4 linked regions of the Oryctolagus cuniculus genome follow. The protein of the gene in region 1 interacts with the protein of each later gene in a biochemical or structural test. Links are inferred from orthologs where the notes say so. Each region holds a gene or a part of one and is shown in the gene's direction. Other genes may lie near its edges.

Region 1 (3,797 bases):
GGGCTGCAGTTCCCCGTGGGCCGGGTGCACCGGCTGCTGCGCAAGGGCAACTACGCCGAGCGCGTCGGCGCCGGCGCCCCGGTGTACCTGGCGGCCGTGCTCGAGTACCTGACGGCCGAGATCCTGGAGCTGGCGGGCAACGCGGCGCGCGACAACAAGAAGACGCGCATCATCCCGCGCCACCTGCAGCTGGCCGTGAGAAATGACGAGGAGCTCAACAAGTTACTCGGGGGTGTCACCATCGCGCAGGGCGGCGTGCTGCCCAACATCCAGGCCGTGCTGCTGCCCAAGAAGACGGAGAGCCACAAGCCTGGCAAGAGCAAGTGATTGATTAGGCGTGACACCACTCCCGTCCACCCAAAAGGCTCTTTTAAGAGCCACCACAGTGTCAAGCGGAGGGCTGATAACAAGCAGCGCGTTAGCTCTTTCTTTGACAACTTGGGTGGCTCTAAAAAGAGCCTTTGGTCTTTGGTTCAGGTCGTCAAATTTATTTGCTTTTGGCTTTGTGGCTTTCGGTTTTCTTTGGCAGCAGCACAGCCTGGATGTTGGGCAGCACGCCGCCCTGCGCGATCGTCACCTTGCCCAGCAGCTTGTTGAGCTCCTCGTCGTTGCGGATGGCCAGCTGCAGGTGGCGCGGGATGATGCGCGTCTTCTTGTTGTCGCGCGCCGCGTTGCCCGCCAGCTCCAGGATCTCGGCCGTCAGGTACTCGAGCACGGCCGCCATGTAGACGGGCGCGCCGGCGCCGACGCGCTCGGCGTAGTTGCCCTTGCGCAGCAGCCGGTGCACCCGGCCCACGGGGAACTGCAGCCCGGCGCGCGACGACCGCGACTTGGCCTTGGCGCGCGCCTTGCCTCCTTGCTTGCCACGACCAGACATAGTTAAGAAAAAGAAACCAAACCCAGCTAGGGCGCAGAACCTCGCAACAAAACAAGATTGAAAGGAACCCACGAAGAAAGCCTTTATAAGCTTCCCTGGGGGTGGGGTCAGGAACGAGCTTTTCATTGGTCCTAATATGGCTTCAGAAACAGCCAATAAAGTCGAGCTGTTGTCATTACGCAGGCTTTTACCGAAAACGCAACTTTCCTGCACGGACCAATGGAAACGAAAGCCATTTTGATTCCTAATTTGCATAAGATGGTTATAAGAGGATCAGGCCCGCCCATCCTCTTATTCCTTTTCCCCGCTGTATCGCGTTGGTGTGGTGTTTACCATGCCCGAGCCAGCCAAGTCCGCGCCCGCGCCCAAGAAGGGCTCCAAGAAAGCTGTCACCAAGGCGCAGAAGAAAGACGGCAAGAAGCGCAAGCGCAGCCGCAAGGAGAGCTACTCCATCTACGTGTACAAGGTGCTCAAGCAAGTGCACCCCGACACCGGCATCTCGTCCAAGGCCATGGGCATCATGAACTCGTTCGTCAACGACATCTTCGAGCGCATCGCCGGCGAGGCGTCGCGCCTGGCGCACTACAACAAGCGCTCGACCATCACGTCCCGGGAGATCCAGACGGCCGTGCGCCTGCTTCTGCCCGGCGAGCTGGCCAAGCACGCCGTGTCCGAGGGCACCAAGGCTGTCACCAAGTACACCAGCTCCAAGTGAGGCCCTGCCGTGCCGCTAACCCACAAAGGCTCTTTTCAGAGCCACCCATCTGATCGGGAAAGAGCCGTGTTCACATAACGTCCCCCCTTAGTCCCTTCGCACAAGTAAGTTACTGCAGCCCAGACGTAGTGGGGGTGGAGTACTTGGCATTCTCTAAGACGTTCCGACCCCGAGGTTCCCGGCGCGTGATTGGACTTGCGTTGAGTGCCAAGTGCGTCTTCACTCCTAACAGCGGCGATGGCCCGCCCCTACCCCTCTGCGTTGCGGCAGTGGCCGGGCGGCTTTGTTACACACGCTGGGCCGTCTTAAACTCGAGTGGCTGATTGCAGCTATTGGTTTAGGAAGACTGCAGGACACAAGTAGGCGCGTCCGGCGGCCGCTGTGTACAGCAGCAGCTTAGCACCGGAAGCGGCGGGGTGGCCAGCTCGGCGCGGGGAGGGCTCGGCCTGCGGGCCTGCGGGCCTGCGGGTGACCGGTGCTGTGCTCTGGGGCGGAGCCCGCGCCGCTGAGGGTCAGACTTTTCCTGATTGGGCGGCATGAATATTCAAAATTCGCGCCACTCGAGAATTCTTAAAGACTTTGTTTTCCGCCTCTGACGTTGTAGCTTGGAGAGTCCTAGGATTCCTTAAGTCCGTAAATGATTTTTGCATTTAATGCTCTGTGCTGGGAAGCCTGCCCCAGGTCACTGCAAGACACGGGTGGTTTAGCTCGGGGATTAAGAACCGCTGCCAGCGGCATCCGCTCAGGAGCCTGCCCTTTGGCCCTGTCTGTTGTGTGTTTTCATCTTCGTCCACGCAGCTGGCTGAAATTCGCTGGCTCATTTGCTTTCTCGTTAATGGTCTTTCTTCAAACCGGGACAAAGGCCCTGCTGGCCTGCTTTTCCTCCGTATCTTCAGCGCCCATCAGTGCCTGGCACGTAGCGGACACAAACGGCTTGAACCGATATCGACGGATTCGTTTTTCTATCCCGCCAATTTCGTAATCGCTTCCGTGGGTGGGGGGTGGGCGCTGTTTATTTCCATCAGATGTGAAGATACGATGAAGATGGAAATGTTTTTGTAGCTCCTTGACCAAATATGTCGTTAATCACCTCGGTGCAACTGCTTTGGGGCGGGTGAGGGGTGGGGGGAGGCCTGGTGCCAAGATTTTTTTTTTTTTTTGCATCGGGAGGAGGCGGCAGTAGCGGGTCTTCCCCGCAGGCTCCCCGCTTTAGGGTGACCCGTTTTAGGTTTCCGTTCAATTGAGAGCAGTGGTCAGCGAGAAGAGCCTTCACCCTCTGTTCACACTGGGAGGAGCTTTCAGTTCATCCCCACCAACCCGGCTGCTTTTTCAGGAGGCCCTAACAAGCAGAGCAGACAGAGCTGCAATATCCCTCACACAGCGAGCGCTGCTTTTGTCTTCTGCGATGTGATCACAGGTGTATTTTGGTCGTATCTGATGCAATTACGCAATACCGAATCTTCCTGTCCGAGCCTTGATGGTGCCAGGGGAGGTCCTGAGTGCTCAGTAACTGGACTCTGCTCAGGGCTCCTGGAGTTGATTGCAAGGGTTTTGTGAACCCAGATGTGCTCCACATAGCAAATCATAGGCTGAGATCTTGAGCCTGCTGCGCGTGTGCTTTCAAATCTGTGTAGATGCTGTTATTAATAAAGTGCCCAACTCATTTTAAGGCTTTGCTATATCCTTTTATCGGCCATATATGAAGTGAAATTGACAGGGACAGTCACCACTGGGTACATGTGTGGAAAGGGTGGAGAAGGAATATTTAGAAGCCGTCAGCTAAACTTTTACCCCAGATGGGCAATGGGGCTGAACCAGGCTGTCACAAGGCTTTCCGCAGTCCTTGCAAAATACGTGAGCATGAAGAAGAAGCACTACAAACAACGTGGAAGACATACAGTCCTTAACCAAGGTGGGCTAACACCGACAGACACTTAACATGTGTTCCCGATTCATGCACAACATTCTCTCATTCTCACAAGAGCCTCCTAAAGTAGGTAGACTTGTCATCTCCCACTGGACAGGGAGGGAAACTGAGCCACAGAGCGGCCTTTCCTCAGAAACTCACCAGAGAAAAAGCTCCTTGTTTAGTGCTAAAAGGATGTAAGAAAGCAGGGCTGCTCTCTGAGAACCTGGACTCCTCCCTGGATTAGGGGGGAAATAGCTGTGCTTTAAAATAAAGAAAAAAAAAAAGCCACCTGCTTT
Region 2 (3,561 bases), on another chromosome or scaffold:
GAGGCTGGAGCTCCGCGCCCTGAGGCCTGCCCCGTCCGCAGGTGGACGCGCAGCTGCTGACCGTGCAGAAGCTGGAGGAGAAGGAGCGGGCCCTGCAGGGCAGCCTCGGCGGCGTGGAGAAGGAGCTGACGCTGCGCAGCCAGGCCCTGGAGCTCAACAAGCGGAAGGTGAGGCTGGGCCCCGGCCGCCGGCTCCCAGCCTCCCCTGGGTGTGTACGGAGAAGCCGCCGGGAATGGCCCGGGGAGCCCTGTGCTGCCTCGCCTCGCCTGGATGCCGAGCCTGCCCCGCCTGACCCGCTGGTCACGTGCTAGTCTCAGCCTAAGAATCCTACCAAGATGTGCGTGGTGCTGTCCACGTTTCCGAATCGGACAGACAGGTGTAGAGGGGTCAGCAGACTTGCTCAAAAAAAAAGAAAGTGAAGCCAGGAGGCCCAGGTCCCCATGGCTCCAGAGCCCACGTCCTGAGCACTCGTGGGTTGGCTGCAACATACGAAAGATCTAGTCCGTGCTCACGTCTTTAGAGTAATACTGGTTTAAATCTTCCTCTTCCTGTCTGTTGTATTCTTCTCCAGTGAATCCATTCACGTAAGCAGTATTGCAGTATTTCTTACGTCCCTGTGATGTGCAGGCCTTGGGCTGGTCCCTGTGAAAGCGGTGGGCACAAGAGGGTCTCTGCCTTCCAGGCAGGCCTGGAACCGCGTCTTGAGGGCAATAATCCCACAGATAAATAACGGTGCGGCAGGTCACAGTTGGTCTTAAGAAGGAAACTCGGGTGTGGGGCAAGGGAAATCTGGGTTTGTCGGGACGTGCCACTGGAGCAGAGACCTGCGGGAGTGCCGTGTGTGTGTGTTGAGGGGAGCAGAGAGAAGAGCGAGATCGCCATGCTGGCAGGAGCTGCGGATCAGAGCGTAGGAGGCGAGGGCCAGAGGATCGGGAAGGCAGGACCGGCTCCGGCATAGACGGCGCTGGGACGTCCGACGCAGGCTCGGGTGGACGGCGGCTCCACGTGCCCCTCCTTGTCCCGCCCACCTCAGGCTGTGGAAGCGGCCCAGCTGGCCGAGGACCTGAAGGTACAGCTGGAGCACGTGCAGACTCGGCTGCGGGAGATCCAGCCCTGCCTGGCGGAGAGCCGGGCTGCCCGCGAGAAGGAGAGCTTCAACCTCAAGAGGGCTCAGGTGCGTGTGTCCGGGAGGGCGTGGGCGTGGGTGTGGGTGTGGGCACCTGCGGGCCCGAGGACTCCTGCACTGAGCCCGGCCCCTCTCCTGCCCCAGGAGGACATCTCCCGGCTGCGGCGCAAGCTGGAGAAGCAGCGGAAGGTGGAGGTTTACGCGGACGCCGACGAGATCCTGCAGGAGGAGATCAAGGAGTACAAGGTGGGGCCGCGGGGCTGAGTCGTGCCCGCCAACCCAGCAGTTGCAGATGAGAGGCTGATGAGAGGGGCCCTTGGGATTGAGGCGGGGCAGCAGCACCTGGGAAGGTGACCGGAGAGCCGGCTGAGCGTTGGCCATGGCTCACGGGCCTGGCCAGGTGCAGGCCGGCAGGGCTGAAACTGACGGGTAACCCCTCGGTACCTCTGTGCTCTCGGGGAGGACTGATGCCATCGATGGCCTCTGGGGAACTCGGGCTCCCGGGTAGGGGTGTCACCCAAGGCGGCCTGCAGAGTGGATCAGGGTTGGCGCTGAGGAGTGGGCATGAGAGGGCTCAGGCAGAGGGAAAGGCAGGTGCAGGGCGTGGGGTGGGGGAGGGCAGGTTGGGAGGAGGTGCTGGACAGCAGGGCTGGGCTTGCGGCTCGCAGCTGGAGGCGAGCGTGTGGGGGCCGCAGAGCTGCAGAACCTGCAGGTGTGGCGAGCCCGCTCAAGCAGCTGAGTGTGGAGACGTCGGATTTTAAGCAGGAGTTGGAGTGGAGTGGGCTGGGGCTGGGGCAGGTGAAGGCTGAGGCAGGGTAAGTGTTGGGCGTCTGCAGTCATTGGAGCGAAACCTGAGAGTCAGCTTAAGTACTGAGATGAGGAGAGGGGCCCGTGCTGTGGCCTTAGCAGGTAAAGCCGCCCGCCCTCGGCAGTGCTGCATCCCATGTGGGCACCAGTTCATTCCGGCTGCTCCACTTGCGATCCAGCTCTCTGCTGTGGCCTGGGAAAAGCTGCAGAAGATGGCCCAAGTGCTTGGGGCCCTGCACCCATTGGGAGACCCAGATGAAGCTCCTGGCTTTGGCCTGGCTCAGCCCTGGCTGTTGCAGCCATCTTGGGAAGTGGACCAGTGGTTGTAACTGACTTTTAAATAAATAAATTTAAAAGAAAAAGGTAATGGAAAGTGGAGTTAAAAGAAATTTTGGTGGAAAAATTTTTGAAATCCATTTTCCATTTAAAAGAAAGTACATAGGAAGAAACTGCATGGATTTCAATAATTCTCTCTAAAATAAACTTGTCTTTTAATCCATTTTGCCACAAACTAAAAAAAGAATTACAATTGTTATTTCAATGAAAAGCAGACAGAGCAGGGGAGCTCCTTGTCACTGATTGCCTCCCAGAGGCCACCGCAGCCAGGGCTTGGCTGGAACAGAAGCCGAAACACAGGCCTGGCCTCCCCCTTGGGGGGCGCGCACCCAAGGACTTGAGCCGTCACTGCTGCCCGCCAGGGTGTGCATTGCAGGCTGCTGGGATCCAGGAGCAGAGCGCAGAGCCCAGTGCGGGCTGCAGGCCTCTCCCCCACTGACTGCCTGTCCTCCACCACCTTTTTGAAATGCTTTCGCGCTGCGTTCAGGAGGCTTTTAGAGGCAGATCATTTGGACACAGGGACGTATGGAGTGCGTGGGCTGAGCAGGAGAACACTGAGGAAAACTCCTGCTTCCTGACTGGACTGGGGAGGAGCAGGCTCTGATGGGCAGTGCCGAGGGATGCTGAGCAGCGTAGGGGTGCGGGCTGTCAGCTGGGAGCCACAAGGAGGGCCCCCTCTTCTTAGGAACCTCAAATCTTACGTGATGGGTGGAGGGAGGGAGGCCTGTGGGCTGGGAGGGATGAGAGATACTGAGGGAGCCGATGGGGGTGAAGGTGAAGGAACTGAGCCGCGGGAGGGCGGTGCTGGAGCAGGGGTGAAAGGGAGAGGGGCAGGCCCCTGGAGTGGGGGGTGCCCCGTCGGGGATCCGACTGCCCTTTGAGGCGGCCTGGAAGAGGCGGAGGTGGCAGCGGGCAGCCAGGGGCCCCCCGAGAGGTGGAAACGTGCCGCTGGGGAGGGTGCGGAGGCAGTGGCCGGGGCTGGGATTCCAAGCAGGGCACAGGGTGGACTTGGGTGATGCGGAGTTGAAGCGACTGCTGTCTGCAGCTGCGGCAGGAAAGACCCTGCTGGTGGCAGGGGCAGATCTCGGGCCGGAGACGCGGCAGGGGTTGTGGGCCGCACCGGGCCGTGCCCGAGAGGGCGGAGATCGCAGACTTCCAGTGGCCCTGCCGCGTTCACCTGCGAGGGGGAGCAGGTCCAGCAAAGAAGCAGGCCAGGATGGGGCCAGGGAGGGTGCCCCAGAGCGGGGGAGTCCAGGCTGCGCCCTTGTCCTTGAGATGGCACGCCGGACAGC
Region 3 (4,278 bases), on another chromosome or scaffold:
CTTCGAGGTGCGGCTCCGGAGTCTTGGGGATGGTCCTGCTTGGGCTTCGGGGGGAGGCAGCGGCCCGCACTGGCCTCGGACCCACAGCTGGCCGGATGGCGTCAGGCAGCAGGTCATGGCGGTGGGATCTAGGTCCGGCGGTAGCTGCATTTGCCGCTGCACCCTCTGCTCCATGCGGTAACCACCCAGTCCCGGGTTGCCGTACTCCCACTGCCGCTGGCCGGTCACCGTCAGGTTCTGCCCAGTCACCTGCACCACCAGCTCCTCGGGGGCGAAGCCCTGCGCGTCCATCTTCATTTGGAAATCGTCTGCGGCCCGGCCATGGTCCTGCACAGCGGCCGGGTGGTCCCTCAGCAGCTGCACCGGCAGTGTGGCCACCTGATTGCGTTCAGCGAGGGCCACACTGGGACTCCTCGACGCCACCTGGTTCCCGTTGGAGAAACTGCTGCCGACCCGCTGCATCCAAGTGAGCAACTGCTCTTCAGGGGCACGAGGCTCCGAACGCAAGGCCCGAGCTCGGCCAGGCGTGTGGACTCCAAGGAAACGGGAGCGGGGTCCTCACGAGGCCCCGCGCGGCTCCCCCGGGTCGGGTTGGGTCGGGTCGGGTCAGGCGGGGGCAGCTCATTCCCTTTGACTTCCGCAAACTTCGGCTGGGTCCGGGGTCAGCTCTGCCCGTCCTGCCTCCAGGAGCGGGCTGTCAGTTGCTCAGGAGCACCCGCTATACTTTTACCCTGGCCCTGCCCTTTCTCCACCACGGCACAATGGAGCCACTGAAGAGGCTGGACGCCGGGAGCAGACACTCGGCAGCCACCGACCGGCCAGGGGCAGGGAAGCCCATTGCTGGCAGAGACAGCGGGCGGGGTCCTCCAGGTCCTCCATCGCGGCGTGCCCTGCTTCTCCCTGAGCACACGCACGAGGGAGGCGGGCACATCCCTCCCTGTCCTCGGGGTCTGGGGCCACAAAGATGATGGCGCGGGCATCCCGCGTCCCAGTGGTTTTCCTTGTCGCTGCTGCGACCACAGCCGCGCCCCTGGAACTCTGTGTTTTGATACTAAATTCTCTCCGTTGAAGGATAACAAAGTGCACAACGCAGTACAGGTGGATGGTACACAGCGCACGCCCGGGGTAGCCACCGAAGCTCAGAGCTTCGGCCACGTCTCAGCCCCTGTGCGGCTGCAGCCCCGCGTCTGGGCCTCACGGGATGGGGCCTCGGCCCCCGTGGGGGGCGCCTATTTCCTGGGATGCACCTCCCTGTCCCTAAGACGGCAGCAACCGGAGCCGTCCCGGACGCCTTCCAGATAAATTGGGAGCCAGGAAGTCTGGGGTGCTAGCTGGGGCTCCCCTTGGCTGCCTGGTACCAAGAGAAAGGACGGAAAAGTCTGGAAGCTGGAGGCCAGGGGCGCGGCGGTGGAAGACTACAACTCCCGTCGTGCGTCGGGCCTGTGGCGCCTGCGCACTGCGCACCGGTTGCCCATGCGGCCCTAGGGCTGGGAGCGCGGCGCCGCTCCGCTGCGGGGGAGGCCATGGCGGAACCTTCTCAGGCCCCGGCCCCAGTCCCGGCTGCGCAGCCCCGGCCCCTTCAGTCCCCAGCCCCTACCCCAACTCCTACTCCTGCGCCCAGCCCTGCTTCAGCCCCGACTCCGGCTCCCACTCCGGCACCAGCCCCCGCCCCGGCTGCAGCCCCAGCCGGGAGCACAGGGACTGGAGGGCCCGGGGTAGGAAGTGGGGGAACCGGCAGCGGGGGGGATCCGGCGCGACCTGGCCTGAGCCAGCAGCAGCGCGCCAGCCAGAGGAAGGCGCAAGTCCGGGGACTGCCGCGCGCCAAGAAGCTTGAGAAGCTAGGGGTCTTCTCCGCTTGCAAGGTGGGGGCGGGGCCTAGGGTGAAAGGGGCGGGGCTTGAGGGCATCCCTGGGCTCGGGTGGGAATGGGGGGCGACGCTCTGGACGCTTAGCGGCCCCTGCCCCTGGGGTGCGGGGGTCGTTGACTTATCTCCTGCCTCCAGGCCAATGAAACCTGCAAATGTAATGGCTGGAAAAACCCCAAGCCCCCTACTGCTCCCCGCATGGACCTGCAGCAGCCTGCTGCCAACCTGAGCGAGCTGTGCCGCAGCTGTGAGCACCCCTTGGGTAAGGCAGGCAGCGCCCTTGCAGGTGGTGGGCGCCAGGTGCTGGGGCCTGCTTGGACAGCCTGATTTCGCTGCCAGGAAACCTCGTCTCAGGACCTTAGGAGGTGTGGGGTTGGGGGCAGGCAGGCCGAGAGGGAGGAGAAAGGGAAAGTGCCAGCCGGGAAGATGCGGGGCCACCTTTGGAAGTCTTGGCTCCCTGCCGAGCAGGGCGTCCATGCCTCCCCACCCCGCGGCCCGGGCTGGCTGTCTTGCAGCTGACCACGTGTCCCACCTGGAGAATGTGTCAGAGGATGAGATCAACCGGCTGCTGGGGATGGTGGTGGATGTGGAGAATCTGTTCATGTCGGTGCACAAGGAGGAGGACACGGACACCAAACAGGTCTACTTCTACCTCTTCAAGGTGAGCTTCCGCGAACGGGCGTGAGTGGGGGGCAGGGGGGCTCTCAGTTCTGATGCTCCCTCCCTCCCTCCCTCCCTCTTCCTGCAGCTCCTGCGCAAATGCATCCTGCAGATGACCCGGCCTGTGGTGGAGGGGTCCCTGGGCAGCCCCCCGTTTGAGAAGCCTAATATTGAGCAGGTGGGGTGGGGCACGGGGAGCTGGGTCCTCCCTCCTGCTCTAGCTGAAAATCAGAGGGGATCAGCCGGGGGCGTGTGTTCTGTGCTGACTGCAGAGTGGGGTGGAGGAGGGGGGGCACTTTGTCACGAAGCTGGCTTCTTAGCCCTCCTCCCTGGATTTGTTCCCCACCCCACCCCTTCCCAGGGTGTGCTGAACTTCGTGCAGTACAAGTTTAGCCACCTGGCTCCCCGGGAGCGACAGACCATGTTCGAACTCTCCAAGATGTTCCTGCTTTGCCTTAACTACTGGAAGCTGGAGACGCCCGCCCAGTTCCGGCAAAGGTCCCAGTCGGAGGATGTGGCTACCTACAAGGTCAATTACACCAGGTAGGCCCTGCCCGGGCGGGGGCTGGGGGGGGATTTGTAGACCTCCCCATGTGCTCTCACCCTGCTGTCCCCACCCCCAGGTGGCTGTGTTACTGTCACGTGCCCCAGAGCTGCGACAGCCTGCCTCGCTACGAGACCACTCACGTGTTCGGGCGAAGCCTCCTCCGGTCCATTTTCACTGTTACCCGGCGGCAGCTGCTGGAGAAGTTCCGAGTGGAGAAAGACAAGCTGGTGCCGGAGAAGAGGACCCTCATCCTCACCCACTTCCCCAAGTAAGGCTCGTTCCGGCCCACTGCGAGTTTGCCCCAAGTTCACGTCCTCCCTGTTGTCCCCTTTTTTCCAGGAAGCCTTCCTGGATTGGTCCCTCCTCTCCCTCCATGGGCCTTCTGGGATCTGGGCGTCTACCTGGCAGACTTGCCCATGGCCCAGAAGCAGCTTGCTAGTAGTTGCCTTTGCACGGCCTAGTCTGGGGATGGCAGGTACATGGCCCCGGCTAACGCTGCCCCTCCCACACCCTGCTAGGCGTTACTAATTGTTTCCCATGGGGGCCTGGACCCAGCCTCAGAATCCCTCCCACCACAGAGCTCCAAGAAGCCAGCGCTGACACCTGAGGTGACAGCAGTGTCCGCCCCGCGCTAGTCCTTTCTGTGCCAGTGTCCCCCCGTGTGCCACACCTCTCTCCCATCTTAAGCCTGGCTCGTGACTTCTCTGTTCAGAGAGCCTTGGCTGTCAAATCCGGGCCCCTGAGTGCCCCTGCCACCAGGTGGGAACAGGAGGTGGTGAGTTGGGGTGGATTCCTAGTCATCTTGATGCTGCGGGGAGCAGGGGGACCCAGGGGGACGTGGTGCCCTGCCTGGCTACGGGGTTGGTATTTAGCTCGGGCCCTGTGGCCCTGTGCTGCCCGAGATGGCCAAACTGGGCCCCTTTGCTTGGTGTGTCCGAAGCTCTCACCTTGCATTCGAGGCTCCCGGGAGCCAGGGGGCCGTGCCTGCCCCTGTGGCCAGGGCTTCCCGCAGGGCAGAGCTTGCTCTCAGACGCGCCTCGCAGGGTCTGTCTCTGGCCACGGCACAGCCGCAGCCCCCCGGGGGCCCGGCCCAGGCCGCCTTTGGCGGGAGGGCGGAGTCGTGGACAGACGGCGCCCTCCCCCCAGGTTCCTGTCCATGCTGGAGGAGGAGATCTACGGGGCCAACTCGCCCATCTGGGAGTCGGGC
Region 4 (3,561 bases), on another chromosome or scaffold:
TGGCCACAGTTGCCAGAGCTGGACCGATTCGAAGGCAGGAGTTTCTTCCAGGTGTCCTCCATGGGTGCAGGGGCCCAAGCACTTGGGCCATCTTCCATTGCTTTCCCAGGCCATAAGTAGAGAGCTGGATTGGAAGAGGAACAGCTGAGGCACGAACCAGCATCCATATGGGATGCTGGTGCTGCAGGCGGAGGCTTAGCTGGCCCCAAATTTTCATTTTTATTAACAGTACTATGGAGATAACTCTTTCTGAAAATTTTTACTTTTTTGAGGATAAATTGGAGATTTAAATGCTGGTTAAAGCATCTCCCCATTGTTTGTACTTTTGTCTTATATTAGTCTCCAGAAAAGTGATAATAATTTACATTTATCAGGAGGTTGCCCATGCTCAACTATAAAACTGATCTTTTGAGATGAAATAATTTTAACATATTTAGTAATATGATTACTGGAGATGTTTGAAGGCTATTTCACTAATTTACATTGTCTTTGTCTCCAGCCCTCATGTAGTCAAATATTATGGAAGTTATTTTAAGAACACAGACTTATGGATCGTTATGGAGTACTGTGGAGCTGGCTCTGTATCTGATATCATTCGATTACGAAATAAAACGGTAAGTTTACCTGGTAGAAGCTGCAGCTGAGCAAGTCTCTTTCACCATTTTTTTGCTTTAGCCTTTTATTTGTGTGTATTTTCTTGCTACTGTATCTAGACAAATAACTGTCAAATTTCTTATTTTCTATTGTTGTTTCTTCCTCATTACTCTCTCATGTCTTCTAAAGGTAGCAGTTTTACACCAGATCAATCCAGTGGTTTTTAGCATACTTTTCTTACTGGGAAAAAAAAAAACTATGAAATATTAGTTAGGGCGTGAATTTTAAATACTTTAGTTTGGATTTCTTCATCCACCTACCATGTTCACAAGTTAACTGCCTCTGCTTCCTGTTAATCAGAGAGTAATCCCATTATGAAAGACTATTTACCTTACTGTGTAATAAGTAATATTATTTGCTGGAATAAGACCTAGAAGTCATAATTTCTAATTCCAGTTCAATTGCTTAAGCTGTTTATTTATTCAGTAAATATTTCTAGAACACTGCTATAGGTCTTAGAGATCCAGTAGCAAAACAGATGACAACATTGCTCTTACAGTAGTGTACTTTCCACTAGGCCAACAGAAAACAAATTAATGTTAACTAGAAAAGAAATAGCAGGTAGTGGTAAAAACCGTGAAGAAAATGATTAATGTATAAGATGAAGAGGTAGTGAAATGGTAGAGAGTGCTTGGTGGGCTACTTTTTTTGTTTTTTTTTTTAATATTTATTTATTTATTTGAAGGAATTACACAGAGAGAGATGGAGAGGAAGAGATCTTCCATCCACTGGTTTACTCTCCAGATGGCCACAATGGCCAGAGCTGGGACAGCCAGGAGTTTCTTCTGGGTCTCTAATGTAGGTGCAGAGGCCCATGCATTTAGGTCATTTTCTGCTGCTTTCCCAGGTGCATTAGCATTTCCTAGGAAGCTGGATTGGAAGTGGAGCAGCTGGACTTGAACTGGCACCCATATTGGATGCTGGCATTGCAGGCAGCAGCTTTACCTGCTATGCTACAATACCGGCCCCTCATTATGGTTAGTATTTGCATTTCTTTGATGGCTAGTGATCCTGAGCATTTTTTCATGTGTTTGTTGGTCATTTGTATTTTTTTTTTAAGATTGATTTATTTATTTGAAAGACAGAGTTACAGAGAGGCAGAGGAGGGGGGGGGGGTCTTCCATCCGCTGGTTCACTTCCCAGATGGCTGCAACAGCCAGAGCTGTGCCAATCCCAAGCCAGGAGCTAGGAACTTTCTTCTGGGTCTCCTACATGGGTGCAGGACCCCAGGAATTGGGCGATCTTCTGTTGCTTTCCCAGGCCATAGCAGAGAGCTGAATCGGAAGTGGAGTAGCCAGGACTCGAGTTGGCAGCCACAAGGAGTGCCAGCACTGCAGGTGGTGGCTTTACCCGCTGTGCCACAGCACCAGCCCCTGACCCTTTGTATTTCATCCTAGAAAAATGCCTGTTCGGGAACAATGCTGTGACACAGTGGGTTAAAGCCCCAGCTTGCCATGCTGGAATCCCATATGGTCACCAGTTCAGGTCCTAGCTGCTCTACTTCTGATCCAGTTTCCTGCTAACGCACCTGGGAAAGCAGTGGAAGATGGCCCAGGTGCTTGGGCTCCTGCATCCACATGGGAGACCTGGATGAAGCTGCTGGCTCCTGGCTTTGGATTAGTCAGCTCTAGCCATTGTGGCCATCTGGGTGGTGAACCAGCAGATAAGGACCTCTCTCTCTCTCTCTCTCTCTCTCTCTCTCTCTCTCTGTCTCTACCTCTCTTTGTAACTTTGTCTTTCAAACAAATAAAATAGATCTTTAAAAAAAGAAAAAAAGAAATATGCCTGTTCAAGTCCTTTGCCCATTTCTTAACTAGGTTGTTTTGTTGTTGAGTTTCTTGAGCTCCTTATATATTCTGGATTTTAATCCTTTAGCAAATGCATAGTTTGCAAATATTTTCTCCCACTGTGTTGGTTGCTGCTTCACTTTGTCAAGTGATTCTTTTGCTGTGCAGAAGCTTCTTAGCTCGAAGTCATCCTGTTTGGTTATTCCTCTGTGAAATAAAGACCTTCCAAGACAAACAGAATTGAAATAATTTGTCAGCACTCAGTGATACTTACAAATGATACTTAAAGATATACCACAAACAGAAACAGAGAAAAATAATCAGCATCATGAAAGACTGTAAAGGCACAAAACCTCTTAATAATAGCAAAGAGGAGATCCAAAACAAACAAAAGGAATATTTACAGAAAAATGGCATAACCCAGTCATTACTTATCAATAATAATCTTGAATATAAATGAGCTAAACTCTCCAATTAAAAGATACAGACTGGCTGAATGTATTAAAAAACAAAATCAATCTATATGCTGCCTACAAGAAACACCCTTATCAACAAAGATACACACAGATTGAAAGCAAAAGACTTGAAATTGATACTCCATGTAAATGAAGTAAAAAATGAGCCAGAGTAGCTATCATCCCATCAGACAAAATAGACTTTAAGACAAAAACTGGGGGCCAGCACTGTGGCATAGCAGGTAAAGCCACTGCCTGCAGTGTCAGCATCCCATATGATACTGGTTCAAGTCCTGGCTAATCCACTTCTGATCCAGCTCTATGCTATGGCCTGGGAAAGCAGTACAAGATGGCCCAAGTCCTTGTGCTCCTGCATCTATGTGGCTGAATGTAATAAATGGGGTAGAAAATAAAGTTGGAGAGGTAGCTTGGAGCTAGGTCACTTAAGGCCTTGGTGATAACGGTCTTTTATTTGAGCAATTTAGGAAGCCGTTGGTAGGTTTTGAGCAGATCTGGTTTCTGTTTTAAAAGAGTAAGTACGGTCTATGGCCATACTACCCTGAACACGCCCGATCTTGTCTGATCTTGGAAGCTAAGCAGGGTCGGGCCTGGTTAGTAGTTGGATGGGAAGAGTAAGCATTGTTGTCATGTGGAAAAGATAGAGG

Evidence for each region.
Region 2: of the proteins of histone H2B type 2-E (region 1) and RNF40, one has a biochemical effect on the other in vitro, tested with the Homo sapiens proteins (2 studies listed by BioGRID). The link is inferred for Oryctolagus cuniculus from reciprocal best matches to the Homo sapiens genes H2BC21 and RNF40.
Region 3: of the proteins of histone H2B type 2-E (region 1) and KAT2A, one has a biochemical effect on the other in vitro, tested with the Homo sapiens proteins (2 studies listed by BioGRID). The link is inferred for Oryctolagus cuniculus from reciprocal best matches to the Homo sapiens genes H2BC21 and KAT2A.
Region 4: of the proteins of histone H2B type 2-E (region 1) and STK4, one has a biochemical effect on the other in vitro, tested with the Homo sapiens proteins (2 studies listed by BioGRID). The link is inferred for Oryctolagus cuniculus from reciprocal best matches to the Homo sapiens genes H2BC21 and STK4.

Annotation. Positions count from the first base shown.
Region 1 is NC_091438.1:48,065,075-48,068,871, forward strand, and holds histone H2B type 2-E, read left to right. Parts: upstream 1-1,157; 5' UTR 1,158-1,211; coding exon 1,212-1,592; 3' UTR 1,593-3,261; downstream 3,262-3,797. Other genes in the region: histone H2A type 2-B, read left to right, coding at 1-327; histone H2A type 2-C, read right to left, coding at 488-877. UniProt on the Homo sapiens protein: Core component of nucleosome. Nucleosomes wrap and compact DNA into chromatin, limiting DNA accessibility to the cellular machineries which require DNA as a template.
Region 2 is NC_091450.1:6,344,925-6,348,485, reverse strand, and holds part of RNF40 (E3 ubiquitin-protein ligase BRE1B), read left to right. Parts: intron 1-41; coding exon 42-167; intron 168-1,033; coding exon 1,034-1,174; intron 1,175-1,270; coding exon 1,271-1,372; intron 1,373-3,561.
Region 3 is NC_091448.1:20,670,688-20,674,965, forward strand, and holds the start of KAT2A (histone acetyltransferase KAT2A), read left to right. Parts: upstream 1-1,458; 5' UTR 1,459-1,523; coding exon 1,524-1,862; intron 1,863-2,002; coding exon 2,003-2,126; intron 2,127-2,379; coding exon 2,380-2,525; intron 2,526-2,612; coding exon 2,613-2,702; intron 2,703-2,885; coding exon 2,886-3,067; intron 3,068-3,147; coding exon 3,148-3,339; intron 3,340-4,217; coding exon 4,218-4,278. Other genes in the region: HSPB9 (heat shock protein beta-9), read right to left, coding at 1-462. UniProt on the Homo sapiens protein: Protein lysine acyltransferase that can act as a acetyltransferase, glutaryltransferase, succinyltransferase or malonyltransferase, depending on the context.
Region 4 is NC_091442.1:14,181,778-14,185,338, reverse strand, and holds part of STK4 (serine/threonine-protein kinase 4), read left to right. Parts: intron 1-499; coding exon 500-614; intron 615-3,561. UniProt on the Homo sapiens protein: Stress-activated, pro-apoptotic kinase which, following caspase-cleavage, enters the nucleus and induces chromatin condensation followed by internucleosomal DNA fragmentation.